Drosophila melanogaster: one gene and its partner. The protein of the gene in region 1 purifies or fractionates together with the protein of each later gene. This does not show direct contact. Each region holds a gene or a part of one and is shown in the gene's direction. Other genes may lie near its edges. The genes, in order: cora and Tctp.

Evidence for each region.
Region 2: the proteins of cora (region 1) and Tctp purify together in Drosophila melanogaster (affinity purification with western blotting; one study listed by BioGRID). This does not show direct contact.

The regions. Positions count from the first base shown.
Region 1 is NT_033778.4:19,227,327-19,243,914, forward strand, and holds cora (coracle), read left to right. Parts: upstream 1-1,736; 5' UTR 1,737-1,788; intron 1,789-2,097; 5' UTR 2,098-2,327; intron 2,328-7,794; 5' UTR 7,795-7,838; intron 7,839-8,144; 5' UTR 8,145-8,189; coding exon 8,190-8,336; intron 8,337-8,436; coding exon 8,437-8,882; intron 8,883-8,940; coding exon 8,941-9,093; intron 9,094-9,158; coding exon 9,159-9,517; intron 9,518-9,615; coding exon 9,616-9,737; intron 9,738-10,001; coding exon of another isoform or gene 10,002-10,115; intron 10,116-10,415; coding exon of another isoform or gene 10,416-10,445; intron 10,446-10,825; coding exon 10,826-10,988; intron 10,989-11,055; coding exon 11,056-11,108; intron 11,109-11,462; coding exon 11,463-14,459; intron 14,460-14,847; coding exon 14,848-15,069; intron 15,070-15,157; coding exon 15,158-15,259; intron 15,260-15,377; coding exon 15,378-15,533; intron 15,534-15,742; coding exon 15,743-15,853; intron 15,854-15,928; coding exon 15,929-15,994; 3' UTR 15,995-16,425; downstream 16,426-16,588. Other genes in the region: CG7137 (uncharacterized protein), read left to right, coding at 80-1,156. UniProt on the Drosophila melanogaster protein: An integral component of the septate junction. May play a role in cell-cell interactions that are necessary for proper development. Vital for embryonic development.
Region 2 is NT_033777.3:11,201,080-11,216,728, forward strand, and holds Tctp (translationally controlled tumor protein), read left to right. Parts: upstream 1-9,167; 5' UTR 9,168-9,301; coding exon 9,302-9,820; 3' UTR 9,821-10,819; downstream 10,820-15,649. Other genes in the region: cu (curled), read left to right, coding at 2,039-2,706, 5,827-6,059, 6,114-6,176, 6,281-6,402, 6,470-7,102, 7,168-7,377; SdhC (succinate dehydrogenase, subunit C), read right to left, coding at 8,148-8,661, 8,719-8,720; ZnT86D (zinc transporter 86D), read right to left, coding at 11,789-12,288, 12,378-12,797, 12,869-13,049; RpS25 (ribosomal protein S25), read right to left, coding at 14,472-14,545, 14,614-14,890, 15,180-15,182; CG4820 (uncharacterized protein), read left to right, coding at 15,534-15,649. UniProt on the Drosophila melanogaster protein: Involved in calcium binding and microtubule stabilization.

The DNA.
Region 1 (16,588 bases):
GTGCTGTTATCGAAAAATACGATAATTCATAGAACGTAGACTTCACGTGTTTCATTTGTTTACAATTTTCCACCGCAAAATGAAGCCTTTCGAAGTGCCGCCCTGGGAGGAAGGAGCCGATATCATTGAGTTTGAGCCGGTAAATCCTTCAGGAAATGGAGTTGCCGCCAAGAAGAAACCAAAGAAGAAGAAACCCAAAAAGAAGAAGGCCGCTGTGCCAAATGAAAATCTGAATGTGAACAAGGCAGCTGAAAAATTCACTTACCGGCAGGGCAGAGGACCTCTTGCCCCGCCCCAAGACTCCTCGGATGATGACTACGAAGATGTGGAGGATGGCATCCGGGCCATGCACAAGGTGAAGTCCGGAAGAATAGAGAAACAGCGACCACCAACGCAGGCCACAAAAGGTGGCAAAAAAGAACTGAAACTGAAACCCGAACTGGCCCAGGCGGCTTTGGAGGCCATGGAGGCCACCAGCTCAACCACGCCGGCTGCAAACTCGTTGGCCAGTAAGCTGCAATCGGAACTCCTGGGCGGACGTTTCCGATACATCAACGAGCAGCTCTACTCGACGACCAGTCGCAAGGCGGAGGCACTTTTCCGCAAGGATAGCTCCGCCTTCGAGGCCTATCACGCTGGCTACCGCCAGCAGGTGGAGAAGTGGCCCATCAATCCGCTTAATCGCATCATCAAGACCATCAAGAAGATTCCCAAAACAGCCATAATTGGCGACTTTGGTTGCGGCGAGGGCAAATTGGCACAATCCGTGCCCAACAAGGTGTACTCCATGGACTTGGTCGCTGCTCGTAGCGACATCATTGCCTGCAACATCACGGATACTCCACTCCAAGCTCGAACTCTGGACGTGGCCGTATACTGCCTCTCACTAATGGGCACGGATCTGAACGAGTTCTTCCTGGAGGCCAATCGAGTGCTCAAGCTGCACGGCACTGTCTATATCGCGGAGATTCAGTCGCGATTCCAGGATGTGCGGGAGTTTGTGCGTTGCCTCAATGCATGTGGATTCGATCTTAACAAGAAGGATGTGGCTGTTAACTATTTCTACTTCTTCCAATTCAAGAAGATGCGTCATGTGCCCAAGAACACCAAGATGAAAGCTTTCTCTCTCAAACCTTGCTTATATCGCAAGCGATAGGATGTTATCCTATTCAGATTAGTAGATTTCCGACTTTGCGAACTGTTAAAGAAACCAAGACAGCGAATGCAATTATAGATAGTTACATTAATTTTATGTAGGAGAAACCGCAATAAATTTGGAATTCTTACAAATGTGTTTTGATCTCTTATTATTCGGTCGAAAATATACAAATTGATAATAAGGCGCGATAATTTAGCAACAAAAAAGGGCACAGATTAAAAATGTATGTCGAATACATAGCGCCTTGATATATGCGACAAAAATGTATAAAAGATAAAAAATCACTCGAATTTCCATTAGAGGTCATATAATTTTTAAAAAATTTAACGATTGAAATCGGACCATACATTTATTAAGAAAACATAGATTTATATACATTTTGTAGCGATATCAAACAGCGCTATTGCTATAAACATTTGAAAAGCAAACCGAAGCACTCAGATGAACCAACGGCATTTGCCAGCACTGCAACCACTCGGTGGTGGTTTCTCAGCAAAACTCAGTGGTCTCAACTGAAATCGACTCAAATCCAAATCGAGCAGCGGCAAGCGGATGGCTCTCAGTTTCAGTTTTCGGTTTCAGTACCAGTTTGCTCTTCGTGCACAGCACATCGAATATTTGTGAAGACGGTACGTTTTGTGTGATCGCGCTGCCAGAATTGTGAGAAGATTTGTTGTTTGGCCAGCAGCAAAGTAATTGCAAAACGGCGACGAGCGGATAGAAAAGAAAAGCGCGCAATTCGGCAGCAGTGTGTTTATAAATAAAATGGGAAATTAATTTATTAGCAACCACTATTCGCGCATTTTCCGCCCACGCCCACCCCGCTCTCTATTATACCCCTGAGCCCAACCCCCCTCACAGCACACACACCCCTTCAACTCCCACTCTTGCGTTCTCTATTACTCACTCAAAGAAACTCAACGTCAAATTTTCAACAGGTATTCAACGACGACGACGACGACAACAACAAATTGTCTTTTTTCGCGAACGAATAGAAAAAAGTGGCAAAGAATTTGTTTACTAGTGTGAAAGCGAGTGAGTGCAGTGCCCACGGGAGAAAAGTGAAAACAACACAAATACAGGAGTAAAAATCAGCCAACCGCCAAACTAACGGTAACTGCGTGTCCTTGCTGTGGATTAAAAAGGATTCTAGAGGCGTCTTAAAAGGGTGAGTACAATTTGGGGATTGCGACATAGGTTAATTACATTTTTATTCAAGTTTTTTTCTTTTGGGCTGTGGTCGGGAGTTTTTGGTGGCTTATGTTTTCGATACCAACACAAGCGCAGAATGACTTGGGCAGTATGACTTCATAGCACACACCACACACACACACACACACCCGAAAGCAGAGTTAATTGAGAGCAGCTTTGCGAGCGGGAGCGAAAAGAGAGCTCGACTCACTCACGCGGCATTTGTATCTGCGTATCTGTATCTGTGAGCTGTCAAGCTTTTCGAGTGTATCTTTTGGCACGATATTCTTATTCTTTCGACTTCTTGTTTTTGTCAACTCGGCCCACATTGTTGTTGTCGCCAGCTCTCTTTTGATTTTGCCTCTGTCTTTGCCTTACTCCAATTTTCCTTCTTCTGTGTTTTCCTCGTTTGCTTCGCATTTCGGGGCGCAGGGTGGGAAATTCTTATTGGGCCCGCGGTAGTCAAGGAAACGTTCCACAACACCGATCGGATACAAATGTATCTCAAAGGTAGTTTCGTTTAGCAGTGAACTTTAAAAAAGGGGGCAAATACTTTATATCTTTATAAAACCTACTCAGTATCGGTAAAACTACAACGTATGTATGTATATGTATCTCAAAGATACGCATGTGGAAAGGCATACAATCACTTTTGAATTCTACGCAAATTGAAAAGGTTATTCATAATGATGATTATGAATAGAAAACTTCTTAAGTGTAAATATCAATTGAGTAGAATTTATACTTTGAATTTATATTTTAAAGAAGGCCAACTACCAACCGAAAAATCAAAATTCCTAGAACTGCGCACTTTATGAAACCGATTCCTTTCATTTCCTTCTCTCGCTTAAATATAATTTTGGAATTTCGTCGCATTCATATGGCATATATAATAGTTTCATATGGCGGCTAAATTCCCCAAGCATCAAGACGTCACTGTTCCCAAAATAGAATCCATTGGGTTTGCGAGCAGGTTTCCACATTTCTTATCACAACATTGAGCGCTTTTTGCATTGGCATTTTTCATATGTTTGATATCGGCTGGGGTAAACAACGTCGGTCTTTATCCCAGCCACTAGGAAACATGGCTAAGATAAGATAAGGCCACCACAACAAAGGCCAGTTATGAATGGCAGGTGACTGGTGGCGATATTTTAGGTGTCCCCTCATCCCCCATCCACTGAGTCACGGCACGATTTTCACCATCCCCGGAAAACCTGGGGCGTTGACTTGGCAACCAAAAAACCGTTCTTCGAAAACCGCTGTTTACGTGAAGTCTTTTTTCTTCCACCTTTTCCGGGAGGTGTGGGCTTTGACCCAAATAGTAAGAAACATTAACATGTAGACTTCGTCTTCTTGGCCAGGCCATGCAAAGTGGGAATGGAAACGAACTGGCTAACATGAGGTTGAGCTTGCATTAGAAAAGAAAGAAATAAAAAAAACCGGTTGTTGCTGGCCAAGAAGTTGGCTGCACAGCAGACAAACAGATAAAGCAGCCGAGCAAAGCAAACGAGGAGTGCCAGCCAACTGAATGCCAATAACTGTACAACCAGCGAGTGGAAAACTATACTACAAAAATCTGGAGAGTGAGAGAGTTTCGGAGGGCTAACGACTTGGCAGCACGCGAATGAACATGGCTAAAAAAAAAACAAAATGAGTCGGAATCAGAGCCCCCTCGAAAACCTGAATTCGAACACGACTCCGAATTCGAGCGTTACCAACTAGGTGTGTCTTCCAGCGTTAGAAGCTCCCAGAGCGCGTCTCTCCGTATTCTCTCGGATTCTCTCGTCGGAAAACGGAGACTAAGCCCCAACCAGCGATTTTCCAGCGTGGCCAGATCGTTGTTAAGATTGGGGATCTCACCTACTATGTGTAGCACTTAATATCTTCATCTTTATGAATCCTCTTTAGAATCGCTAGCTATTCTTAGTTCACCGGAAGATTTCCACCCTCCTTCAGCGAGGTGAAAAACCAATCTAATCTTTCAACAAACTTAATCGGATGGAAGGCAGCTTTTCCAGCCCCCTTTTTAGCCAATCAGTTTCCCTCTTGCGCTCCTCCTAAATGCCCATTCGATTTTCCGTTTTCTATTTTTATTCCTTGTCGCATCGATTTTTACTTGTGCGGATGGGGCGTCTATAGGTCTATGATTAATGTGCAAAGCGCTGAAGTGGACAAAATTCTCCTCGAGGGCGGTTCGTTTGTTTACTTTCTCCGCCCTTCGCGACACTTTTTCCCTCACCTTCTGGGCAGAAATCAAAACGCGATGTGCATGTGGGTGCGGCATACCAACACAGTGAAAAATATTAACCTAAAACCACTTATTCTGTTCTACTAAATAAAATAGTTATGTTCCTTAAACCAAAAAATTGTTTCAACCCTTTTCTATATTATATATATTATTTTAAAAAGACTTGCATACGGATACAACATCTAAAATGATTTTGGTTCAGCTTATATTTTATGGTGTTGAAATAGCAGCAACTGTGGATGCATTTCAGAGTTCGTTGGCCAGGCGAAGTCAAATGCTTTAAATAGCCATTGACAGTGGAGAACTGATGGTGCCGGGTGGTGGAGCGATGGTGGTGCAGATGGCTATGTGTGGGTGTGATCCAGTGCGGTTATGTCGCCTTGTCATCCGAACGTCGATCATAGCGGTAATTAGTCAAGCGACACACTGCTCCACAGAGCCGTCACTTGAGCTGTCGAAAAGTGGCATCTGGTGACCAGAAACCAGTTCCCCTCAAGTGGCTGATCCACTTCTGAGTTACTAGCTAGTGGTCATCTCTGTCTCAGGGCTGCCAGTGCGATGGGAAATGGGAACGGATCTGGCTTATCGACTGACGGGTTCCATAGAGTCGCCATCCTCGACTGCCAGGCGGTTCCACTCCGTCGATAAGTCTATGGATTCGCAAGAGCGAAACACACCCTCCTCTAATCGTTCTGTATTGATTGACCCACTTTCCCACTTTAGCACACAGTCCAGAATGCGCGAATGTTTACGTATTTCCCACTCCATATTTCCTCGAAAAATATACAAAATAACTTGGAAGACCTGACGCACCAGGCATGAAATCCATTGTTCATTCGAGTGAATGATTGGTTCAAAGGGGTAAAGTGATAAAGAGAATGAAAGTATTCTTAAAAGCTTAAATTGATATAATAATATAACTCTAATTAGCTAAAATGACACTCAGATGTCTGTCAAATTAATGTACATATTTCAATTTATGCACCACAACGGAAAATGTAACAGCTTCCCTTGCGGAAATGCGGCCATGTTTATAAACGGATGTGAAGTCAGTATATAATACATTTTAAATGCGATTTATTGGCAACGCTTCGTTGAGCTCAGAAAATGGCAAGTTTGAAAAGTTTTGTGCACTTCACAGCCCCGGGGGAAATTTTAATGTTAATGGGCATAAAAGCGAAAGTTTAGTCACAATGACTAGAGGGAATGTACTATATATGTATTATGTACATACAAGGGAGAAATTCAATGTGTGGGGGGCACGCCGTTCCCGGGGAAGTGACGCCACCGCCCACCAGGTGACCCATGTTGATGTCAGAGTAATAACTCGATGACACATGTATGAGCCATCCCCGCGGATATGAAAAACCTGGCGCAGACCCGTCGCCAATTGAATTTGATTTAAGTTGTATTAAATGAAACTTAATTAAAGGGGAGCCGGCTGCACCCAAAGTACGAGTGCCCATGTTCTCATTCCGAATCTCAATTGAAACGACGCGATTGCCATCTTTTGTGCTTCTGCCTTCTGTCCGCCACAAGAACTTCGTTACTTTCACAATAATACCAGATATATATATACATATATATGTATATATTCTACTCACTTGGTTAGGCTGCTTCTTCTCTGCTCAATTTGGACGTATTTATTCTCGCCTGGCCAGCAATATTGTAACCTAAAGATTAGACGCGCGCCACTTGATGAATTTCACCTCGACCTCCTTCAATTGAGGCGAATGCGCCAAGTGCTGAAAATGTTTTTGGGTGTCGGCATCTTCTGCAAATATATTTGTATAAACTCTAGAAATAGCTCTTGATATTATGCCTTAGCTGGTGCTGATCGCTTAGCTGATGATGTCATCGAAAATAAATCATGTACGAATGCCCCCGCATTGTAAAATCGCTATGCGCTATCGACAATTCGAGCGATTTACTTTGTTTTGGTTTGCCAGCCAAACGAATTTGTAAGTCGGCACGGCAAGATAATGCCGCTGATTCACCGCCGATCTTAGTCAAGTATTCCCATACCCATTCCCACTACTCATGGGGCCCTGCATTTGGCCAAGTGAAAATAACGAGGTGGTTGCAACCGCCCGTCGATGATGTCAACATTGCGTATGCGCAACCTTCAACTATGAGAACAAGCACGCTGCCAAAAGTAATGCTATATGGAGTCCATATACACATGGTCTGCGCGCTACAAAGACGCGAGAATAAATAAAATAATATAAATTAGATGTTTGTCTGCTTTTTTTTTTTTTGGTTTTCGGGTTCTGGTTCTCAGCATACATATTTCATGTGTGTGTTTTTGTTTAATTTTGAACGCACGATGACGCCACCAGAGTTAATTCGCTTTGGGGGTCGTGTCCGAAACTGAAACAGTATTATAGCGCCATAGAAGACCTCTATCACGAAGTCTGTGGCAAACTGGTTCAGCTAGTTTCCTCTGCGGGATCGATGGACACATCTCTTGGCTCATGACTCCCAGCCAATTAAACACTCCGATTGTAAATTGAACTCACTGTGCAATCGGTCAGCGCATCTGGGCTCAATTGACTCTCGATCCTCGCACGTTAACCATACCCATAACTATGGCTACACCCAAGTACATTCCCAATCAGCGTTGATTGAAGGCTCTTTTCTGGGTGGGGCAGTGTGTCCACATCCGTGGCAAAATGCCGATATCGTCTCTTTTCAGAAGAAAACAACATTATTTTGCGCAATTTGCAGTCCCGCTAAATTCCGACCGCAAACGGAATCAAATGGAAACGGAAGGGGATAAAAGCGAGAACATGACGCTGCCTCGACTTGCCGGCTTATATAACCCACACCGATATGGAGCATACATATACATATTTATATATATGTATATATGGAAGACTTATGTCACTGCTGAACTTGAATCCAGATCTGGAACGTGAGCTGTCGCCGATCACTTGACTTTTCGGCTTACTCAAAGGACGTTCCCAACTTTTATTCCCATGTACTTTTGTATATTTAATGACTTTAATTACTGGGGCATTATCTGTATTCACTCTGCTTAATAATAGATCTGCGAAATCTGACTGTTGTGCGGTTTATGGTCAACTCATTGTAATGGTCTCAGACCTGAAAGTTTTTTTTACTATCTGCTTTCGCTAGTAAAATGGTAATTCAATTTGCAGTTCAGCTTTTAATGGCGAAATTTCTCTTACAGCTCGCTGGAAATCATTGCCGGAGAAATTCTAGAGCTCTTTGGAAGTGAGTACGCAATTGCAACTGGTGACATCATAGTCATCAGCGAGTGGAGAAGGAGGAGTTGTACACATCCTGGCTGAGGGTCCTGTGCTTAAATGTGTGTGTGCTGAGTTTATTTGCGCAGTGGCGCCAGGCAAATTGAGAAAGTTTATGTCGTGTTTTATGTCCAGACTGCAGACTTCTAATGAGCGAAAGGCGCCCACACACACACACACACACACACTGGGACACATGACCCCGCGGAGTGGACACTTCCGGCCATTTAACTGGGATCCAGTGCAATTTACTAAAGTCTTTACATTCTTGCAGCCAACTCCAAGCTGTCGCTGGCGTAGCCAAGTCCCCCAATCCAAGATGCCGGCGGAAATTAAACCATCCGCGCCCGCTGAGCCGGAAACGCCGACCAAGAGCAAACCCAAGTCCAGCTCATCCTCGCACGGAAAGCCTGCCCTAGCACGAGTCACCCTGCTGGATGGCTCCCTTCTGGACGTGTCCATTGATGTGAGTAAGCAGGGATGATGATGTGTTAAACAAGTCAAACCCTTTAAGGTTATGATTAAAAACATTTACAATGATGAATTGTTCAATTTGATTTCCACAGCGCAAAGCCATTGGCCGTGATGTGATCAACTCAATCTGCGCCGGTCTGAACCTCATCGAAAAGGACTACTTTGGTCTGACCTATGAGACGCCCACAGATCCGCGCACTTGGCTGGATCTGGAGAAGCCGGTATCCAAGTTCTTCCGCACGGACACTTGGCCTCTCACCTTCGCCGTCAAGTTCTATCCGCCGGAGCCATCGCAGCTGAAGGAGGACATCACGCGCTACCATTTGTGCCTGCAGGTGCGCAATGACATCCTGGAGGGTCGACTGCCCTGCACATTCGTCACCCACGCTCTGCTCGGATCCTACTTGGTGCAGTCGGAGATGGGCGACTACGATGCAGAGGAAATGCCCACCAGGGCCTACCTGAAGGACTTCAAGATCGCTCCAAATCAGACGGCTGAGTTGGAGGATAAGGTCATGGATCTTCACAAGACCCACAAGTAAGTTTTGGACTATTATATCAAGGATTTATACTCACTTTAATATTTTGTATTCTAGGGGACAATCGCCCGCCGAGGCTGAGCTACACTACCTGGAGAATGCCAAGAAGCTGGCCATGTACGGCGTGGACTTGCATCCCGCTAAGGATTCTGAGGGCGTGGACATCATGCTGGGCGTTTGTGCCTCCGGTTTGCTCGTCTACCGCGATAAGTGAGCAGCTCTTACTATATTTAAATTAAACAATTGCTAATATATTTAAACCACTATCCAACTAGATTGCGCATCAACCGCTTTGCCTGGCCCAAGATTCTGAAGATCTCCTACAAGCGCCACCATTTCTACATCAAGATCCGACCGGGTGAATTCGAGCAGTACGAATCCACCATTGGCTTTAAGCTGGCCAACCATCGTGCCGCCAAGAAACTGTGGAAATCCTGCGTGGAGCACCACACCTTCTTCCGCCTGATGACCCCCGAACCGGTCAGCAAGTCCAAGATGTTCCCAGTCTTCGGGTCCACCTATCGCTACAAGGGTCGCACTCAGGCCGAGAGCACGAACACACCCGTGGATCGTACTCCTCCGAAGTTCAATAGGACTCTGTCCGGAGCTCGTCTCACTTCCAGGAGCATGGATGGTAATTACACCTAGTCTTGAGTAGAGCTTGCTTATATATAACCTGATAGTTTTGAATCTATGTGGTTTGAATTGTTTCTAATTACCTGATCCTTTCAGCTCTGGCCTTGGCCGAAAAGGAAAAGGTGGCTAGGAAGAGCAGCACCCTGGATCATCGGGGAGATCGCAATGCCGATGGCGATGCCCACAGCCGCAGTCCCATCAAGAACAAGAAGGAGAAGGTAACCCATCCAGTTTTTAACCAACTAATGCCTGACGAAACATAGCTATTGAGATGAACATGTTTAACGATGATTTCGGAGTTAACCAGAGTTTTTTGTACTTTCTTCTCGGTTTGTTACTAACTCACAACCACTCACAAACCAAACAACCACACACACATCCACTCTGTGATTCTGAATATGAAATGATGTGCTCGTAATGTTAACCCTTCGTCCCCTAAAAAAAAAAAAAAACACACCTTAACCCCCCATTACACTAACCAGTTGATGCGACAGTCGAGCACCGGCACGGCTTCGGCCTCCTCGCAAAGTTCCCTCGAGGGTGACTACGAGACCAACCTAGAGATTGAGGCCATCGAGGCTGAGCCCCCCGTTCAGGTTAACACTTTACTACCTACAACTCAAAAAAAAATCGAAAAAAAAAAAAACCAAAAAAAAAGTATCCTCCGAATCGAATCTTCTACAATGTATCCTTCCTAACTTTTTTATCGGCTTTGAACTCTGCTTTTCGAATGTTGTGAGCTTACGTATGAAACGATTTGATTTGAAGTCTCCCTCAGTTATTCGTTTATTTGTTCAGCTTAGGGCTACTTTACCCCAGTAATTTATGAATGTTCTGAACCTATTAATTTATATTTTTTGTTTTCATAACCGACTATCCTCTAACCAATGTGATAGAACCCGAACGAGCTGTACCTTGATCTGATGGTAATTTTTGTAAAAAAAAAGAAATCAGTGCCGTCAATTGTCTGTTAAATGTGCATTACATCATAACTATCTGACTTTTTTTACGTGTTTTATTTAACTTTGATTTGATTATTTTGTGACGTCTGTAAGAGTCCTTTCTCGAGCTGTAAATACCATTTAGGGCCACACCAGTACAGTCCACACAAAACATGCAGTTGTATTAAAAAAGTTTCATCTGTAATGCCTAATTAACGAAATATTATAATTTTGTTGCTTGTATTGTAAATATATATTGTACATCTCAGCCATTTTGTAGCATGTCGCCTTTTCGCCCCAAATATCTGTTTCCTCTGAATTATACGCTAAAAACTATAACTAACTAATGATCGATGTTTTCTCAGGATGCTGATAAGGAGGCTAAGTTGCGTGAGAAGAAACAAAAGGAGAAGGAGGAGAAGGAGCGAAAGGAGCGGGAGAAGCGGGAGTTGGAGGAGAAGAAGAAGGCCGAAAAGGCTGCCAAGGCAGCACTTGCCGCTGGTGCCGCTGCAGGAGCGGCTGTTAATGGTAAGTATCCCCAGGATAAAGTATCTAAAGAAGCAATCTTACTAACCTCCCTGAAAATATTATCTAGGCAATGACGAGCTGAATGATTCCAACAAGTCTGACAAGTCCTCAGGCAGACGTGTAAGTATCCTATCTGACTATCCCCAACTTAAGCTAGATCATAGGAACACACAAGACTAGGTGTACTGAGCTAAGCGATATCCCCGCACCGAATGCGCCCGCCCTCGTGTAAATACTCTTAACCCCCCCGACCCAAAACCCACCCAAATCCACATACCAAATCACTTAAGTTTCACCCGTAAGTTATGATAGTTTGTAGTGAAACCCGAAAATTGATCTTAAGTTGAACTCATTGGTTGTGTAATAATTATTATGGTTTCCTTTTGTTAATTTTTACCTCCCATTTCTTTTCGTTTTATGTTTGACCTTTTCATTTGATCCTCGAAAAAAAAACGATCCAACGACGATCCACAGGGCGTTGGCATATTCTCCTCGGGTCGCAAGAGCAAGAGCGGTTCCCCATCCAAGGATGGCAAGGATAAGTCCGGAAAGGATAAGGACAAGGAGGTGGGTCGACTTGGTCTGGTCGTTACGTCTGGTCTGGGCGATAATCAGCAGGATCAAAACCTGGACGAGGCGGCTAGGAATGCGGCTAAGAACCGAGGATCCACCACTCCCGGTGTCACTAGGCAGTATGAGTATGCCGTGGATAATGATGGCAATACCAGTCCCACAAGGAAATCATACACCCCTGGTGGCTTCCGTTACGATCAGGATCCTAACTCTAGGAAATCCGGTGCCGATGGCCAGGAGCAGCTGTCTCCTACCTCGCAGCAAAAAAAGATTGGTTTGGCCTTTAACTATGCTCCTGGTAACGAGAACGCCTTGAAGGAAACGGCTGAGAAGCTGAAGGCAGGACAGCTGTCTCCACGCACCCAAGATAAGCTGAACCGCGGTCAATTGTCGCCCAAGTCGCGGGCTAAGCTACTCCAGGATCCACTCCTCTCGCCCACCACTCGTGCTAAGCTCCAGGGCAGCGCTGTGGATGCGGCTGCTGTTCCTCTGAGCGATTCCCAGAAGCGATCCTACTCGCCCACCAAGGGACCCCAAGGCTACTCCTCTGGAGCTCCAGGAAGCTACAAGCCCATCTCAGATCCCACGGCTGATTTCCTGGAATCACAGCGCTACAACAAAGAGCCCGGTTACGTTGGTCCCTCCAAAGCTGATGTTGCTGCTGGTCTTGCAGGTGCTGCTGGCTCTAAGAAGCCTGGTTCTCCCACCAAGACAGGAAAGGGAGCTCCAGGAGCTGCTGCTGCGGCAGCAGCTGGAGCCGCAGGAGCTGCAGCAGCAGCGGCCAAGCCGAAAAAGAGGCGAGTCAAGATCATGGTCATCACCTCCAAATTCGATCCTTCCACCAAACGCATTGATGCGGAGAACGGAAGTATTGAGCACTCCACCGGCATTCTAGACCCCGCCACCGGACTCATTGACACCAAATATGGCGTGATTGATCCCAAGAAGGGAACATTGGAGGCTCTGAATACCAAGACCGGAAAGAAGGAAGTGTTCCAGGGCGATGTTGATGGCAAGACCGGCAATCTTCATTTGGTATCCGGTGTGGCGGATCCAAAGACCGGACGCCTTGACGACACCCTTGGTCAGATCGTTTGCATCACACCCCAGGATAATCCTGTGGTGGAGCTAACAGTGATCACCAGTCGCATTGATCCTGCAACCGGAAAGATTGACACAGTTAACGGAGATGTTGAGCGTTCCTTGGGCGTCCTGAACTTGGATACCGGCCTGCTGGATACCAAGTATGGAGAGATTAACACACGCACCGGCGAACTTAAGGCCATTGATCCCAAGTCTGGCAAGATTGTAGTCAGCAAGAACGTGAAAGTGGATCCGGGTACTGGCCAGATCACTATCCTGGGCATTGTGGATCCCAAAACGAACAAGATCGATCCGAACCAAGGTCGCCTCATTGAGGTGGGCCAACAGATTGACCCAATTGTGGAGGTCACTTCCTTGGCAGGCAAGTTCGATTCCAAGAGGAACATCATCGATCCCAAGACGGCGCAGGTGGAGACCTCTGGAGGTCAGTTCGATCCGAAGGCCGGCAAGATTGATACCAAATATGGACAGATTGATCTGGTTAAGCATACGATCACGTTCAATGACCCGAAATCAGGTAAGACGGTTACTAGGGACATTAAGATTGAACCAACCACCGGACAGATTGTGCTGAAGAACCAGGTCAATCCGAAGAACAACAAGCCCGACAAGGATTATGCCAGGATTATCTCTTTGAGGATCGTGCAACAGCGCGTGGATCCGGCCACTAAGGCGCCCATCACTGAAGTAAGTGCCTCCAAGGACAAGGACATCGTGGTGGATCCCAAGTCCAACCAGATTTGGGTGCCCACTGGAGCCACCGATCCTGCCACCAAGGAGCAGCAGTACATCTCCAGCAGCGTGGACCCCAAGACGGGATACGTCATCACCATCTATGGCTACCTGGACCCCAAGACCAACGAGATCAAGAAACAGACCAAGCTCGACCCCAACACAATCAAAATCGAACCCACGTCCGGAAAGATATACACTGCCACCGGGGAGGTGGATCAGGCCACCGGGGAGCCGTTGTATGCGGCCACCCAGGTGGATCCCGAATCCGGCGAGGTCTACACCAAGCTGGCCCGCGTCGATCCCAAGACGGGCAAGATCGTGATCGTGCGCATCCTGCTTATCTCGAAGACCGACGAACGTGGTCGACCGGAGGAGATCGATCCCTCCACATGCGAAATCGATCCCGTCTCCGGCCGCGTTCTTAAGTTCTTCAATAAGACCGTTTATGTTTACAATATGATTGATCCTGTGACCGGTGAAATTGTTCAGGTGGACCCCAATGACCCGCGTTTCGCTGGCGCCCGCACCACGGTCACCCACACGATGACGCTGACAGGAGAGATTGATCCCGTGACCGGCAGGATTAAGAGCGAGTATGGCGACATTGATCCGAACACGGGAGATATTGATCCCGCCACGGCTGTCACGGATCCCGTGACCGGAAAACTGATCCTGAACTATGCCCAGATCGATCCCTCCCACTTCGGCAAACAGGCGCAGGTGCAAACCACCACGGAAACGGTACCCATCACCCGCCAGCAGTTCTTCGACGGAGTCAAGCACATAAGCAAGGGTGCTCTGCGGCGGGATTCCGAGGGCAGCTCCGATGACGACATGACCGCACAGTATGGCGCCGACCAGGTCAATGAGATCTTGATCGGCAGTCCGGCGGGACAGGCGGGTGGCAAGCTGGGCAAGCCAGTGAGCACGCCCACGGTGGTGAAGACCACCACCAAACAGGTGCTGACCAAGAACATCGATGGCGTGACCCACAATGTGGAAGAGGAGGTGCGCAATCTGGGCACCGGCGAGGTCACCTACTCTACGCAGGAACACAAGGTTAGCGAGGGACTGCGTCCCTTATGGATAAACTGGAATTCACTTCTTAAGGGCTTTGATCGAATTCGATTTTAATTAATGGGGCATAAAAGATATTGGTATTCAATTGAGGTTTTTCCAATCATCGCAAACAATATAATATTTAGAAAATCTTAATTAAATCGCAATCGAATTGGATCAAAACCTAGGGCTCTGAAAACCGGAAACGTCTATCTTTCTGTCTCTTTGCGCTTCGCTTTCCAAAGTTATATTAATCTTAATCTCTGCCTTTGCCTAACTTCCGCCTGTATTTGATGTTGTTGCTTAAATTGTTGTATTATTGCTGTTGTATTTTTATGCCGTACGCACTAACCCACTGAACCACCCACTTGCCACTCAATCCACCTAGGCTGATGCTACACCCACCGACCTGAGTGGCGCCTATGTCACGGCCACCGCAGTCACCACCCGCACCGCCACCACGCACGAGGATCTGGGCAAGAACGCCAAGACGGAGCAGCTGGAGGAGAAGACGGTGGCCACCACCCGCACCCACGATCCCAACAAGCAGCAGCAGCGCGTCGTTACCCAGGAGGTGAAGACGACGGCGACGGTCACCAGTGGGGATCAGGTAAGATCGCATGGCTGCATCCCAATTGCATGAGTTGATTGTTGTCATTATGATTTCGATATGTTATGTTATATTATGTGTTGTGTAGTATCAGAGGAGGGATAGCGTTTCCTCGACCAGTTCCGGCGATTCGGGCACGCCCATCGACGGACCCTACGATGGTGCCAGTGTGGTGCGCACAGATAACCAGGTGGGTCATGCATGGCTACTTTCCAATAAGCAATCGATAATTAGGCCCTCTAAAATTAGTTGCGCTTCCAAAAAAAAAAAGTTACATTCAAAGCTTAATAATCTCGAATCTTGCACAGAAATCTCCGCTGTTTACGACCTCCGCCACCACTGGACCCCATGTGGAAAGCACCCGAGTGGTTCTCGGTGAGGACACACCCGGATTCTCCGGACATGGCGAAATCATCTCCACCCAAACCGTGAGCAGCAAAACCCGCACTGTGGAAACCATTACCGTAAGTAACCGGAACTAATCCAACTGATCCCGTTCGATTAGGTTGCGTAAGTAGCCAGAGGTAGGCTTTCTATCTATCTATCCAAAAGATATTTCCTGTGAACGTATGCACCACACTGTATATTCCATGCATAGTCCTTGTTCGAATGGGTTCAGGTTGTACCACATTTATAAAATAACATTAATTAATACTCTACTCTAAATGAACAGTACAAAACCGAACGCGATGGCATTGTGGAGACCCGAGTGGAACAGAAGATAACCATTCAGTCCGATGGAGATCCGATCGATCATGACAAAGCCTTGGCCGAGGCAATACAAGTGAGTATCTAATGGATTAACTTCAACGTTAGTAGATACATTAACTGATACCAATTGTTTTTTACGCGATTACAGGAAGCGACGGCCATGAATCCGGACATGACAGTCGAGAAGATTGAAATTCAGCAGCAAACGCAGTAGATTTTATAATTATTTTTAAACCATTCGGATGATTTTCTAAGTAAACCCGCACACACACTCACACACATGAACACCAGCCCACGCATACGCAGCACTTGCAGTACACCTTTTATACAACCTATATCTAAATATAATTTAAACAAATATATATATATATACACACGAGTGTATATTTGAGCTCGAGCTGATGACCCACATGACATAACACTAAGAAACATAAAAAGATAAATTCCCAATTATCCGTTACCGCAACCGTCTACGAGAAAATGCATCTACATGTTTATTATTTTTATTACAACTGTTGTTTATAATTACTTTTTATTACGTATATTATATATTGAATGTGCAAGGCAACGTTGAAATGAAAACTCTATATATTGTAAACCACGATTGCATTCAAATACAAGAATAAAACCTAAATGTACACACACAAAAAAACACCGATTAAGTGCTTTTCTGGAAGGCAAACTGGCGGCTCCCTGGGCATTCGCACTTGCTGAAATTGCCATTTGTGCTTTTCAATAAGCCACGGACCGCTGAATATTTGATGGACCGTGCTACCTCGCTCGATGGCGATATAAATCAGCAATCCAC
Region 2 (15,649 bases), on another chromosome or scaffold:
GGCGTTTTTCCCTTTTTATTCGTTTTTGGTTTGCTCTGAGATTAGTCAATATCAAATGAACAATCGATGACCCGATCGGTCAGCGGTAGCAGGTGTCTTGCTACAATATAGTCAGCTGAATTAACAAAAACTTACATAGTTTCGCACCACGAATGCCACCTATCACTCCCACGAGGAAAAGGCCTGTCATAAATTGAGCAGACCTGTTGCCAAGTTCATGTGGCATTTTGGCCGAATCCCCAGGTTCATATGTATGTACATATAGCAGTATAAATAAAATCTCAATGTCGGCCGCTGCTCTTGTTGATTTCGTTCGACTTTCCGCAGTGCATTGCCAGAAAAAATTGAGATCCGTTTAAATCTGTTTGTAGAGCAGTCACACCTGCGGAAGGGGAAGAGATTATTATATTTAATTAGTGCTACATCGAAAGGTGACTCGAGGTTTATAGGTATGTATAGCTAAAAAAATATAGTACATCAACATCAAAGTAGATCAAGTTCAATAGCAGCTGAGCAAACAAAGAACTAGGGAAACTTTTGTTAAATAGGAAAATACAAGTGCTTTGATTAATATTTAAATATAAATATTATTTACCTTTTATTTTTCCTAATAGTTTGATATCTAATAGAATTTCTGTTGACTTATCTACGAATTTTTATGTTCTAAAATCCTCAACAATTATATATATGTATATAATGTTTCTTATGTCTAACAAACTTTTCATAATGTAAAACATATGTCAAATTAAAATTCTTGCCTACTCTTAGGCTGATTTTAAAGAACTTTTTAAAACATGATAATAATAAATAAAATACTTAATTTATGATATTATATATTCGACTGCCAAAAAGCGCTATAACTTAAAATTAATATAGTTAATTATATAAAATTCACTAATATTTGCAATTGACTTCAAAAGATTTAAGAGATAAATAGATACCATAACTTGTCGTATTGCGGAAATGAATGGAAGTCGTTGTTTTCATTCAATTGGCTTTTAGTTTATTAGCCAAATGAATTGCAATCAAATTGCTCTTGAATTAATGCAAATCATGAAAGTGCATAATAATTTATTAGCTACAAATTAGCATTGGAGGCTCTTGCCTTTCCTCTCTTTCGGTTTCGATTGCAATTGAGGAGGAGGGAACAAACTGAGGCGTAAAATTAATTATGTTTGTGTGGAAGTCGATTGTCAGGCAGCTGACATAGAGCGTAATTAATCAATCGCAGCTGATTGAAAAGTGTTCTTTATTTACCTGTAATTGATTGAGTCTATAGAATACGGAATTCCTGTGTGGCATTTTCACCAAGAAACCAAAAAACACGTTGACAATTGATTAGAAATTATTGTTCAAGCTCAAGACTAAGTACTTCCTTTAATTATCATGTTTTGTAAACACAATTTTTGAGATATATTGCAATTATTTCAAACTCGTAACCTTAAGCAGCAGAAAGTTCGAGTGGAGTCTTGATTGTTATGATTTCGAAGTAATAACAACGCTTGTTGTTCTGATACCGATGCTGATTCTGATTCTGAATCATCGGGTCAAGTTTAAAGTCACGTCAAGATGAAAGTATTATTGGGCATTGAGCTGCTGCTGCTGACTGACTTTTGGACAATCGAAATCAAATCTCTATTTTGCTAATAACAAATTTGACATTTTGGAAAGTAATCAAACAAAATGTGGTTTGCCTTTAAACGAAACCGAACGAGAGCGGCAATTTCAATTTCATGCCGTTTATTAAACCTATGTCTGAATGACTGAATACCTGAACAGCGGCAATCTGTCTGCTCTTTTAATGAGAAACTACAGAGAGAGCGATCCGATCAGGGAACTGAGCAACTGGCAGTTGGCACTTGATTGCCTCGATCTCGACTAGAGTCGGCCAGAAGATATAAATAAGGAAAGGCAACGCACGCGCGTATTAATTGTTGGCTGTTCTAAACGGCCAGAAGTGCATCGCATATTACGCATACGCAGCGTGGCCAGTGATAAGTGACTAAAACTGGCTCAAAGGTAGCAGTTAAAAGTGACAATGGATCAAAAAACAACGGGACTACGCGAAAACTATGGCCATCGACGTCAGCCCGCCTTGGGCAAGGCCATGCCAGTGACAGCTCTTTTGCTGAATTTGGAGTCAAATCCTTTGGATTACAGTAGGAATGACATTGGAGCTGAGCTCCTCGAAGATGATGACAAGCCACCGCAATTGTTTAGCGTTACGGATGAGCCACCCTCGCCCAACGAAGAGGATTACAAGCCACCCAATCACCATGAGGATGATGGAAAACTGGCTGGTGAACGGCACAGGGAGATACCCTGTTCGAATTGCCTGAAAACGGCACCTGGCCATCTGATCGATCGCCAGTCGGCCATCAATGAGATGTGCCAGCGCCTGTGTGGTCCCGAATGCAGACGTCCACAAGGTCTCACATTGGATGGTGTGCGTCAGGATTTCCTCAGGCAGTACGAAATCGCGGAAGCTGTGGCCAAGACCTCGGCCATGACCTCCACCGTTCAGATGAAACAGCGCCTGGCGGCGCGAAAACTGGAATTCGAAAAGGAAATGGAAATGGACGAACAGCTGGGCGTGGCCAGCCCCCGTAACGATATCAATCTCGGCCAGAGCAGTACCGTCGCTGCAACTGGAATGGGAGAGTTTGAGTTCGAGCCGCCTCGCGATTTGCTCTTGTATCTGGTGAGGTGAGATACTTGTTTCTTACAGGGGCCATGCCATATATACCAGATACCATAACCATAGGCTGTAGCGCGGCTGTCGCGCTTATAAATCAAGTTCATGGCTGGCAGCGTGTCAAGTGTTCTTAGCCATTGGCCAGGCCTCAAAGCCACTTAGCGGCAATCAACAATAACGACAAAAACAACAACGACAACAACAACAACAGCACCAACAAGCGATCCCCGAGAGCAACAAAAACTAACCTTGCACAATTTGCGCGAAAGTGATCATGACAAAACTGACAGTATAAAAACTGAGAGTATATAGGTAGTCAAGTATATATGTATGTAGCTGTGTCCCAGGAAAGGCGGAAAAACGACAGATTCAATAAAAATATATAGTCTAGCAGCGGCACTATCAGAATATTTGTGATCAACTTATTTATTGCAATTCTAATGAGTTAGTTCCTAGTACCAATCATGGGCTATCCATGGGCTTTAGTATCGATATTATTGGCTTATCTAACGCAAAGCTGAAAACTTAATGCCTTTCCATTAAGTGATAAGTCATGAGTGACAACTAAATTGCCATTATATCAGTGTAAATGAACTAAAAAGATTTTATCAATGAACGCAATAATTGCGTTTGGGTCACGAAAGTGTTTCGGCACGTGCCTAATTTGATTAAATCAAGTTCAAAATTCCGCAACGAGATTGGTAGGCATTTTGCAAGTGACGTTCAGCGAAGAGAATGCAAATTTAATTATTTACTAAACATTAACCTCGTAATCATTCTACCTTTCTAGGAAACACAGATGGGGCCGCGTCTCTTTGACATTGCCATACTGACACTAAATATAAAACATTTCAAGTTATCCTAATATCTAAACAAGAAACCAAGAATCCCAGTTCAAAAGTCAGCAGCCGAAAGATAGCAAACTGAAAGTGATATTCGAGTTGGGACAAGCGTTAAGTTTGCACAAAAAGTTCAAAATGGAGTTTCTAATGAAAACGTCGCGTTTGATCGTCACATCGAAGACGTTCGCAAGACGTGTGGCCGTTCCGATTCCCAGGTAACGAAATCGAAATAGAAATTGAAATTGAAATCTTCTCCACGGTATACGCTGAAAATCGGCTACAGATACAACAGATATAGGTACTATATAGCTTGGGCGGACAGCTCATTAGGCATGTAACTGCGTTGCTGTATAAATTGTGCAGATACAATTGTATCTTTTGTCTGCGCAATTTGCATTTGAGAACATTTGGGATTCTGCTTAGGCATACAACAGCGCCATTGATTATCTAAGGATGCTGGCTGCTATTTTCTCCACTTTTTTTGCATGCAGGCATACATACATACAGCACTTTTGTTTTCATTAACTGATAGCCATAAATATTTAACAAGCCAGCCAGCTAGCCAGCGAAACAGACAGCCAGTCGGTCCGACGTACTTATAGAATCGTTCTTTTGTTTAGCATTTTGGCGCGGGAGCTCTCCACACGTGAGCCGAACCGTATTGATCTCGTTCTGGGGGTATCTGTATCGGTATCGGTATCTGTATCTTGCAGATACATCTCGTATGCGAAATACCCGTTTGTGCGTGCTCTCCTCGCGATCTTTTCGCTGCCTCCAGCGCGAATGATCTCTCTAATAAAACCCCGCACTTCAGTTGGCATTCAGTTTCGCCAAAGTCGCTTGCAAGCGCACCTCGTTCCGGCTCCCCCAAAGATCGCTAAAGTCACCACCTCACATATCCCACATAAGTTAAAAAAAAAATAACATTCGAAATCCAAAACATCCAAATCCTTTGATCCTGCCGCAGACATGGAGCCAGCCGTTCCCATTAAGCGAGCCAACAAGGCGCCCTGCAAAAACGATCGCAAGGCCTATCTGCAAAAAGTGATGCTGACCAGGTGAGATGGGCTGCGATCCGAGATGTGAGATGTGAGATGTGGGATGGGGGGACAACTGATCCACCGGCGGCGGGTGATTGATTGCGGTGACATGCCGAAGCCCGTAAGCCCCAAATCCAGTCGCCATTCGCCATTCAATCCCAATCCCCGGCGGGAACTGGTTTCGATTCTCTCGCGGAGCGTTGGAAACCAGACGAACAGCTGCGAAGCTATTGACCGAGCGACATTTTCGCCTTTGTTTTTGTTTCGCGGGATTATCGTCGCGTGGGCGTTCCAGATTCTCCCACCCCTTACCCCCGCTACACCATCTAATACCCCGCTCTAATGTCCGGTAATCTTCTTAGAATCGGAGCATATGTGCTAATTGCCGTAAGCTTAGGCACACGAAAACCAGAAACGTTCTATCCAGCAATATGAAAACTATGTTTTAGCTGTGAGCTACGCAGATTAGTGTGATTGAGTCCAGCTTCAGGAAGTCAGATTCATTTGGTAAAGGAATCAATGATCAATGAAAGTGAAATCATGCATTCCATCCATAACTAAAAGATAGTTTTTTGCTATGAGCTACCTAGCAACAATGATTGAAAAGAATAGAAAATATATCTTTAGTTGAGAAAGAGTTTTTGAGAATGGTTTTAAGCTTGCTAGTTGATTGTGACAGATTGAATAATTGAGCACTTTATCAATAACTCCTTGTTCCAATTCCCCATTTTCGAAATTATTCACTTTTGTGTTTTTTTTTTGTGTTCTTTAAATTGATCAAATCTGATTGAAAAACCTAACAATTCTTAATATTTTTCTTCCCTGCACACAAAACACTTACTCCATTCAAATAACTCCTTGCAGCAAAGTGAAAATGGGACAATTTTATACGAGTCAGCGTCATAGTCATAGTCTATTCATTTTCAGCATAATACTGAGAAAAATTCTATATAGAAAACCCAATGCTTTGTGAGTACCAGAAAATGTGAAATAATATGTATTTAATTGATGTTGTTTATTTGGTGTTTATTCGCTGAAAGTTGTTTGTTTGTTGCGAGAAGCTTTTATCAATTTGTTTTTGATTGAAATGCTAAAAGAAAACACATTTAAAGACTTACTCAATCTTTGTGTTTTGAAATAGCAAAATATAATCGAATAGTGAGTGCTAAACACGTTCGCTTAGTCGAGTTTTTATATAGTTAATTGTTCAACGGCTGTAAACTAATTGAGTCACCTAATCCTATTCCAGAATGGGTTCATTTAACTCGGCCCCAAAGATCAACAATGTGGACTCCCAGGACGATGGCCTGGTACTGCCCTCCGGTCTAAGCACCCCGGCTCTCCTCCAGCATGTCCAGCAACTGCGTGGCGGTGGCATCGAGCAGCCATCGCTGCTCACCCGCGGCTTCCTAAAACCGCTGCTGGCGGACGAGGATGTAGCCGACGGACTGCGATGCCTCAAGCTGAATTCCGTGTCGAGGGGTAGGATTGCATCCTTGTCTTATCCGAGGGCTATATTCTAATCTATTTGTGCAGTTTGCAGTGCGCCAGTCGAGGGTGATGACATTCGATTGCTGCAGTGGAACATCCTATCACAAAGTATGTCCCTAAAAATATTTATATGCTTATATATGTTTAAAGAATTTGCATTATTATACCTTAACTCTATCCCATTTAACTTGATTTCTTCATCTGAAACCCAGCTCTCGGGCAGCACAACGATGGATTTGTGCGCTGTCCCGAGGAGGCTCTCACCTGGGAGCACCGCAAGTACCTGATTGTCCAGGAGATTCTGCAGAACCAGCCCGATGTGATTTGTCTGCAAGTATGTTCACATCAGCCCACCCAACATTTTCAAGACAGTCACACTTAAATGTGATATATTCAATTAGGAGGTAGACCACTTCAAGTTCCTGCAGACCGTGTTGGGTAGCCAGAACTACGCAGGCATCTTCTTCCCGAAACCGGATTCCCCGTGCCTGTACATCGAGCAGAACAATGGACCCGATGGCTGTGCCATCTTCTACAAGAGGGACAAACTGCAGCTGCAGGGATACGACACGAGGATCCTGGAAGTGTGGCGGGTGCAGAGCAACCAGGTGGCCATCGCGGCCCGGCTGCGTATGCGATCCAGTGGTCGGGAATTCTGTGTGGCCACCACCCACTTAAAGGCCCGCCATGGCGCCCTTTTGGCGAAATTACGGAACGAACAGGGACGTGATCTCATTAGGTTTGTGAAGCAGTTTGCCGGAGATACGCCGCTGCTGCTCTGCGGCGATTTCAATGCCGAACCGGTGGAGCCCATCTATGCCACGATCTTGGGATGTGATCTCCTCCGCTTGGGCAGCGCCTATGCCGACGTGAAGCTAGACCGCGAGGAGATACTACATCCCAACGCGGATGTCGGTGAGTTCGTCGCGAAATCGATGAAACGCGAGCCACCCTACACCACCTGGAAAATTCGCGAAGAGGGCGAGGAATGTCACACCATCGACTACGTCTTTTACACACCCGATCGCCTCAAGGTGGGATTTCTGAAATAGTTGCAAGCGGTTACAATTTATTTAACAATATTTATGTCCAATTTCAGATCAAAAACTGTCTAGACTTTCCGGCCGGAGAGCAAATTGGCAAGAATCGCACACCCAGCTTCCAATATCCATCGGATCACTTTTCCCTGGTGTGTGACTTTGAGCTACTGCCTCCGACGGAAAACGGAAAGGAAAGCGGCAGCGGAAGTGGGAGCGATGGTGAAAATGAAACGGAAGTGGAGGGCAGCAAGCATGGATCCATTCAATAGAAAGCTTCAGATTCATAATTTGCCGAAAAAGAAGTTTCAATAACATTACATCGATTGTGATATTAGTTGTTAGATACATATTAGCCTCATACACAACCGTTGCACTACAGTTTGCAGCTTTTACAAATGATAATCCAAAATTCACAATAAATAAATTACAACGTATGGAAGAAAGTTAACTGAACTGCATTTTCTATCCATATAACAATGACCTCTTAAAAATCAAAATTAAGGATATACATATTTTATATAGATTCTGTACATGAACTGAATCCCCCATCTAATAAAAAGATTCTTCAGTTCCGAAGTAAAAGGATCTTTAGAAGACTTTTCTATAGTTAGGGAAGCCAAAGAGCTACTCTTAAATAAATACATTTTCGGAGCCCTTTTGCATTTGGTTTTAATTTTTCATGTAAATTTAAGCCTATAAAAAGTATTCCCTACTTTTGGGCGCATGTAAGTAATATTCTGCTATCGGAAATCGCTTGTTCGGGGCGTATACTTGATTTCGCTGTCAATGGACCGCAAGATGTCTATTTAACCGGCCTCCACACTGAATTCACTCTACAAATCACCGAAATCGTTAAAAACACGCACACCGTGCAAATTGCAGCGCACAACAAACGTATGCAGCACGCCCAAAGCAACAAAATGGATTGCGTAACACAACAAACACCTTTATAAATATACACACTACATGTATTTAGTATATAACAATTTTCACACAGTGTTCGCACTAAAATGTAATAGGTTTAGCTGGGGTCTTGGACTTAGAGCAGGGCCAAGATAGCGGATAGCACGAAAGAGGTGGCGACCATTGCGTAACCGGTGGAGTAAACCTCCTTGATCTTCAGGAACCGTCCGGTGTCCCAGAGGAGATGCCTAATACCATTGGCGGTGTGATAGCCAGCCGGATAGGCGATGATAAACTTGAGGGCGGTCAGAGTGGCGCCACTCAGCTGGAGGCCCTCCACCATGGTCACATAGTGGCTAATGTCGTGGGACGAGATCAGAGCGCCCAATCCCAGACCCCAAACACCCACACCCAGGGCCAATCCTGTGCCGCGGTGACAGATCGAGAGCATGGAGGTCAGCTGCGGTTGGTAGATGGTCAGATGGGGCGACAGCTCCCTGCCCAAGCGCTCGTTCTTCTCGAAGAACGACTCGTCCTTCTGGGTTTCGGCCACGGAAACCACCTTCATCGATACCGGGCGGCTGGCAGCGGCCATCTGGAGGCCCTGGCGCAGCGCCGGAGAGCGGATCAAAGAACTGGAGAGTGCATACCTGCAAAAAGCAGTCACAAATCAGGGTTTTTGCAGTGCCATCACAGAAATTACGTACATTTCCCTGTTTTTCACTCGAACTTGTATTGATGGGACCGTACACTGACTGCGCGATATTACCGCAAACAGGGATGCCACTACGTTGGTAAAAAACAAATAAGTCTCGAAAGTATTGATTTTATATCAACTGTAAAACATTGTTATTACTTTATATGATTAATTCTGTTCCCACTTTTATATTATTCCAATTGAGAATATTACACATATTTATCTTTTTTACTGAAACAGTCTCAAATTATTAAAAGTTAGAATGGCCATAAATATACGTAAGAAACATCAATATTATAGCTATAATAATTTTGTTCGCCTTGTTAATATTCCCTGCTCTTAACTAACAATAAATCGAAGAAAACATTGAAATTATCGATACGTGTATAGTAGGCGCTGCCACTCCCGGATCAATCGTTACCACTCCCAAGCGAGTTGGCAGTTCTTTCGCCATTTTTTCTCGCTCATTCTTTTTGCTGTTCGAGTGAGCGCGTGGCAGGTCGTTTCGCAGTGTTCCCGGTCCGGTGCAGTTGTAGTTGCATTTTCGCCAGCGATTTAGACGCCATCTTCCGACTCCCGACAAGCCAATCACCATGAAGATCTACAAGGATATCATCACCGGCGACGAGATGTTTGCCGACACCTACAAGATGAAGCTGGTGGATGATGTGATCTACGAGGTGTACGGAAAGCTGATCACCCGCCAGGGTGACGATATCAAGCTGGAGGGCGCCAACGCATCCGCCGAGGAGGCCGACGAGGGCACTGATATCACCTCGGAGTCTGGCGTGGATGTTGTGCTTAACCACCGACTGACGGAGTGCTTCGCCTTCGGCGACAAGAAGTCGTACACCCTCTACCTGAAGGACTACATGAAGAAGGTGCTGGCCAAGCTGGAGGAGAAGTCGCCCGACCAGGTCGACATCTTCAAGACCAACATGAACAAGGCCATGAAGGACATCCTTGGCCGCTTCAAGGAGCTGCAGTTCTTCACCGGCGAATCTATGGACTGCGACGGCATGGTGGCCCTGGTGGAATACCGCGAAATCAACGGCGACAGCGTGCCCGTGCTCATGTTCTTCAAGCACGGTCTGGAGGAGGAGAAATGCTAGATGGATCCCAATCCCCCAAACAAAACGGAACCTATACTCATGCATACCTTCTACACACATATACATATTTATCAGATGCTTAGTTACAATTTTGAAAGTCTTAAATTTATGTTTAAAAACGCTGACAAAAATGCCTGTCTTCGATCAGTGCGATTTTATATCTAATTTCTTTTTACCGGAGCGCTTATAAATTCGACATTGTATGTTTATTGTTTAATCACAGCGAGCTAAACAATTCAATTGCGCCACCTATTGTAATTAAAATAATAATTTGATAGCAACACCTACAAATTAGTATGCATTTTCGCTAAGATATCAAAAAGCAACGAAGACCGAAAATGGGAACACCAGTACTGAAATTAAACGGAACACCTATACAAAACAACTGTGAATCCGCATGTCTGTACTTCTTTCCAAATCTGCAGTTATGCGTAGGTAGACGCCGCCATATGGCGGCGTGAGTGGGAACGAGAGGGCGCCACCACCGTCTGAGTCACAGACTTCAGTTAGTTTGTGTTGTTGCTGCTTTTTGGGGCAATCGCGGAGTTATTGACCTTTGACAGTGATGTACACATGCCCCGCACCAATACCGTTACCGTCATTGGACATTTTGGAGGTCATGCGCAGTGGAACACGATTTTCTGCACGTTGCAGTTCGACTTGCCCCAGTTTCTCACGTTGGCTTCGCCCTAACCTCAACCATGCTAATGAAATGCGCCGCTCTCGCTGGAATTTGGGATTCTATAATCTAATTCCAGGTCAAGCAATACGTACGTCTTTATCTGCTTGAAGGGCGGGGCTCTGCGCCCCAGGTGCTATTTCCATTTCAGCGAAACGTGTCGACCTGTTGCCGTTCGTCGCGTGAGAGATGCGCACAGTGGACACTCGTTAGGGCGAACGGCGATATTGTCTGATGTTCGAAAACAATTTTTTTGAAAAGCACAATATATTTTCCTAAAATTGTAAAGAATATTTTATTCAAGTATTTGAATCTAGTTGAAATAGAACCATTTTCGGGATAAAAAGCTAAAAGTTTTTCTTCGCTATTCTCATACATTGTTGAATTTAATGGTTTTTAATATACATACATATGTGTCTATTTATGTACCTTTCCATTCTTATGAAGCGTTGTTGAAATGGAGTATTGTTCCAAGAAAACTTTTTAACAATAAGGAGAACAACAAGCTATACAATTCTGGTTTATTTTGTGGTCTTTCAAATTAAATTATATTTTTGTAAAGAAGTAGTAAACTGGGCAGTTCAATAGCAGATTATTTTCAATGGGAATCTTTTGTAAATAATTGAAATAGGTTAATCTAATCGAATATGTTAATTGGTTATTTGTTTGTACCCAACAAAAAACGAATGATAAGTACCCATCCAACCGGAATTAAAACTTCTTTCAGTTCGGTTTACGTATAAAAATGCTAATAACAAATTAAATTTTATTTCGTTCATAATTTTGATGCTTCAAACTGTGGCAAAAACGATTCACCAAATGCACTTCCACCGCACGGCGGAATGTCCATGGAAATGTCAGTCAGAATTAGTTGCTATTTTCTGGTTTTGTTCATGCTGAATTTTAAAAAATCTTTAAATATTTATATTTACCTTTGCACAAAATCTTTCGCTTAGCTTACAATTACACTAATGCTCCTCGATATGGACTATTGCATAAGTTATGCCATGCTTTCAGTATGTATAGAATTGGAATGAATGCCGAACGCATTTCAACAAATACAAACGTTAATAAGTTAACAAAAATTCGGAAAGTACAACTGAAAATCAAACACTTTCTTTTACTTAGCTCTTGGAGGGGACATTCGGAAGTGATGGGCGGGGTATTGTGGCGCCGTAGTATACTAAAATTTCATAATGTTTGAGTCGCACTGCCCACAAACATTCAACATGCGCTGATAACTATACAGATCATTGTACAAGGACACCGGTGGGTCGATCCCATTGGCATCAAACATAATCCAACTGTATGTAGATCTGCTTGACGCCCACCGCCTCAAAGATCATCCGTGTGTGCGTCACCACGTACTTGGGATCGACGTTCTTGGACACCTCCAGCTTGAGTGCGCCCACATAGACATCGGAGCAAAGGGTCCAGAAGTGCGGCTCCTGCACAGCGTAAACGCCAGCCAGGCCGGTGACTTTCTGATAGCACTGCGGCAGCGATCGGTCCAGGTCGGCGGGTTGTCGCTGCATCAGGATCATGATCGACTCCTTGATCAGACTCAGCACACTGAGCGCTATCAGCAAGGCTATGAAGATGGAGCAAATGGGGTCCGCTATCATCCAGCCGAACATGTGCATCAGCACCGCCGAGATGATCACGCCCACCGAACCCAAAGTGTCCGCCAGGATGTGCAGGAAGACGCCGCGCATGATCTGCGAGTTGCTGCCCGACATGTCGCCGTGCGAGTGGCCATGGCTGTCGTGATCGTGTGAGTGTCCATGGCCTAGAAATGGGCGGATTTAAAAAGGGGTTATTAGAATATTGTCCCATTCCTAGTCAATATAATAAGATATAATCTCCAACTGCAGTTACCATTGTCCAAGGTGATGGCTTGGTGATTGTGATTGCCGGCGTCCGTGTGGCCGTGCGAGTGCCCGTGCCCATGACCACCACCGTGGGAGTGTCCGTGTCCACCGTGCGAGTGTCCATGTCCGCCGTGATTGAAGGCATAGATGCCCACCAGGTTCACCAGCAGTCCCAGCACGGAGACGACAAACAGACGCTCGTGCTTGACCTCCGGCGGTTCGATAAGTCGCTCCACGCCCTCCGACAGAATGAAGAAGGCTATGAACAACAGGAACAGGCTATTCACGAAGCCGGCCAGCACCTCGGCGCGCACATAGCCGTAGGAGAACTTGTCGTTGGCCTTCCACTTGGTGATAACCGACGCGGCCAGTCCCGCCAAGAGGCCAGTGCAGTCGAAGAACATGTGGAATGAGTCGGAGATCAGGCCTGCGGATTAACCATCAAGTAGGTTATAAACTGCGGATAAGATAAAAAGCCATTAGTGGCCAAGTACGCACCCAAACTGTTCGTCACAATGCCGTAGAAGAGCTCCACGAAGGCGAAGCTCAGGTTGAGCAGCAGAAAGAGGAACAGATTCCGGGAGTTGCGGTCGGAGAAGATGAGTCGTTTCCAGCTGTTGAGCTTCTCCCGGATCCGGTAGCCCAGACTGCTCCGGTCCTTGTGCGACAGCGGTATCATCTTGCCGGTTATGGATCTGCAAAAGAGCACGAGACCAACATGAGATCTAAGCACCTAACTAAGAAAGCACACTTTGTTTGCATACGTGGTATTATCGGTTGGCTATAGCCGCGCTCCAGCTGATTCCGTGATTCCCACTCCGCTTCTGGCCGGGTTCGCGAGAATCTTTATCGGCAACGGCGGCGGCGGCAGGTCTCTTTTCTTTGATTCCCAAATTATCTCACAAGCAAAATGCTTCCTGCGCGACTTCGTCGTCGTCGTCGTCTTGTGTGCGCAGTTGTGCGGCGCGGGCTCGTCGATCTGCGATTCAGCTGCAGCTTAATTCATTTTTACTGGGTACCAGATACCAGAACCGAACTCCCGTCTTTGCCAGCACCAAACCAATCTGCCGTGTTGTCATCAAAATAATGGTAACCACGTAAACATTTCGTCCGAACGAAAGCAGCGCTTCGTTGTGAATGGCAAATGGCCACAGTAAGTGCACCACTGAAAGTTTGTTGGGTATTCATTTTACTGGTCGCTTTTTAGTTAGATCTTCCGGCATTTTGTTTGAAAAGTATAAATTCTAAGGAAGTTTGATTTATTGCGGTCTTTTGATTATTATTATTTTTCACTTTAATCATGTATTAAGAATTGCCAGTTTCTAATTTTTATACCTTATTGAATGAAACTTTAATAAACTTCAATGGCTTTTCTTTTGACTTCATTTTGTCGTCAATTATGAAGTTACAATTGAGTACTCACTGTCACGTGAAAACTGAGAGGGTGAATGGCTTGAGAGCAAGAAGAAGATTAGTACTAATTCTTATTGGGAATTCGTTATTTTTTTATAAACAAATATTATTTAATATAAGTGAAAATAACCAAATTCTTGCTGATGTGAATTACAGCAAATGAATCATGATTTTACTGTTTGTATTCAAATGATAACCATTCAAAGTGCTAAATTCAACTAAAAAATACATTTCAGCGGCTGTTTTAAAAATAGTTCCTCATTGATAACAAACTTGAAAGACATTAATGAAATGTTCACTTTCTTAGAAGTATTTTTGATTAAACGCACATTGCAATGAATAATAATTGCTATTATAAGAATTCTTGATATCCTGATTTGCAAATATATTGCACGTCAGCTGTTCGATTTGTAAGAACAATAGTTTTTGGGCTATATGATATTTTACATTCCCAGCCGTATAACTCCGGCTCGACATCTTGAAACCAGCGCTCAGTGATACATCCCTCTATAAGAGGGTATATCTTTATATCAATTAAACATCACGCAAATGTCCCTTACATCAATAAGAAAGCAAGTTTATTCAACGTTACACACACAGCGGCATCGTAGTGCTATCGATACAGAGTTCTATTGTAAGGCGAGTGCGACTACGGCGATGCGAGATGGGCAAAAGGTAAAACATTCATTTACGCCTCATCACCCTTGGTGGCACGTGTGTAGATGACCTGGGAATGATGCTGCACGACCTGCTTGATCAGACCTGAAAGCAAAGAAGAGTGCCATTAGGATTTATGCTAACGAAAAGGTAGGAAGCGTAAGGAAACGTACCCTTCTCGCGCAGCTCGATGAGAGCACGCTTGGCCAGGGAGCCGCGGATCTTCAGACGCTCGGAGACCACCGATGGGGTGATCAGCTTGTAGGCGGGCACTTCCTTGTACAGCTTCTCGTAGGTGGCCTTGTCGAACAGCACCTGGTTGTTCAGCTTGTCCCTGACTTTTCCCTTGGACCACTTCTTCTTCTTGGCCTTGCCGCCGCCGGATCCCTCCTTCTTCTTTTGTGTCTTTTGCGGCTGCTTGGCCGAAGACTTCGCGTCCTTCTTAGGCGGCTGGAATGTTGCAAAGAAAAACGGGCTTGTATTAACAACTTGCACTTGAATCCCAGACATAAATAAACCCCATTGACCACCATTGAGCAGCACCTGGAGTTGCTTGCTTTCGAGGTTAAGGCATGCTTTTGTTTTTTGCCCGCATTTTCACATTTTCCCACTTGAGCTGGGTGTTGTTTTCATGGCCCAGCCCTGGGGCGGCACTTCACTCATATTTTGCCTCCATTTGCGGGCCACTTTCACAGTGAAAAACTATTATTTTCGCAGAATTTAGTAGCAGCGAACTCACCATCGTGAAAAGTCAATGCAGAAAGATGGAGGGCGGAAACGGCCAGAGTTACCATCCATCGCACGGGTTGCTCGCCTGCCTATCGATAGTTGGTGGTGGAGTGTATAAAAATACCAAACACTATTCATAACGGATTTCGTAGATATTGAATATGAATAATCTGCATTTCTTGGGAAAATTAGACTTCTCACATTTGTGAACATGGAATTAAACAATTGTTTTGACTATCGAAACATTTTTGGATAAAGGTGCCCGTTGCGCATTCAAAGTGTATTTTGTCATTCTGAGCAACGGTCACACTCCTACGCATGTCAAACAAATAAATTTAAATAATTGGCAAATCAATTGCATAAAATGAAGGAGTTCTGCCGCACCTGCGGCAAGACCGTCGTGGCCGATGAATGCCTTCAGATCTTCACGCCTGCGGGCCGAAAGTTGCTGCAGTGCGTCCGTTCCATCACAAATTGCTG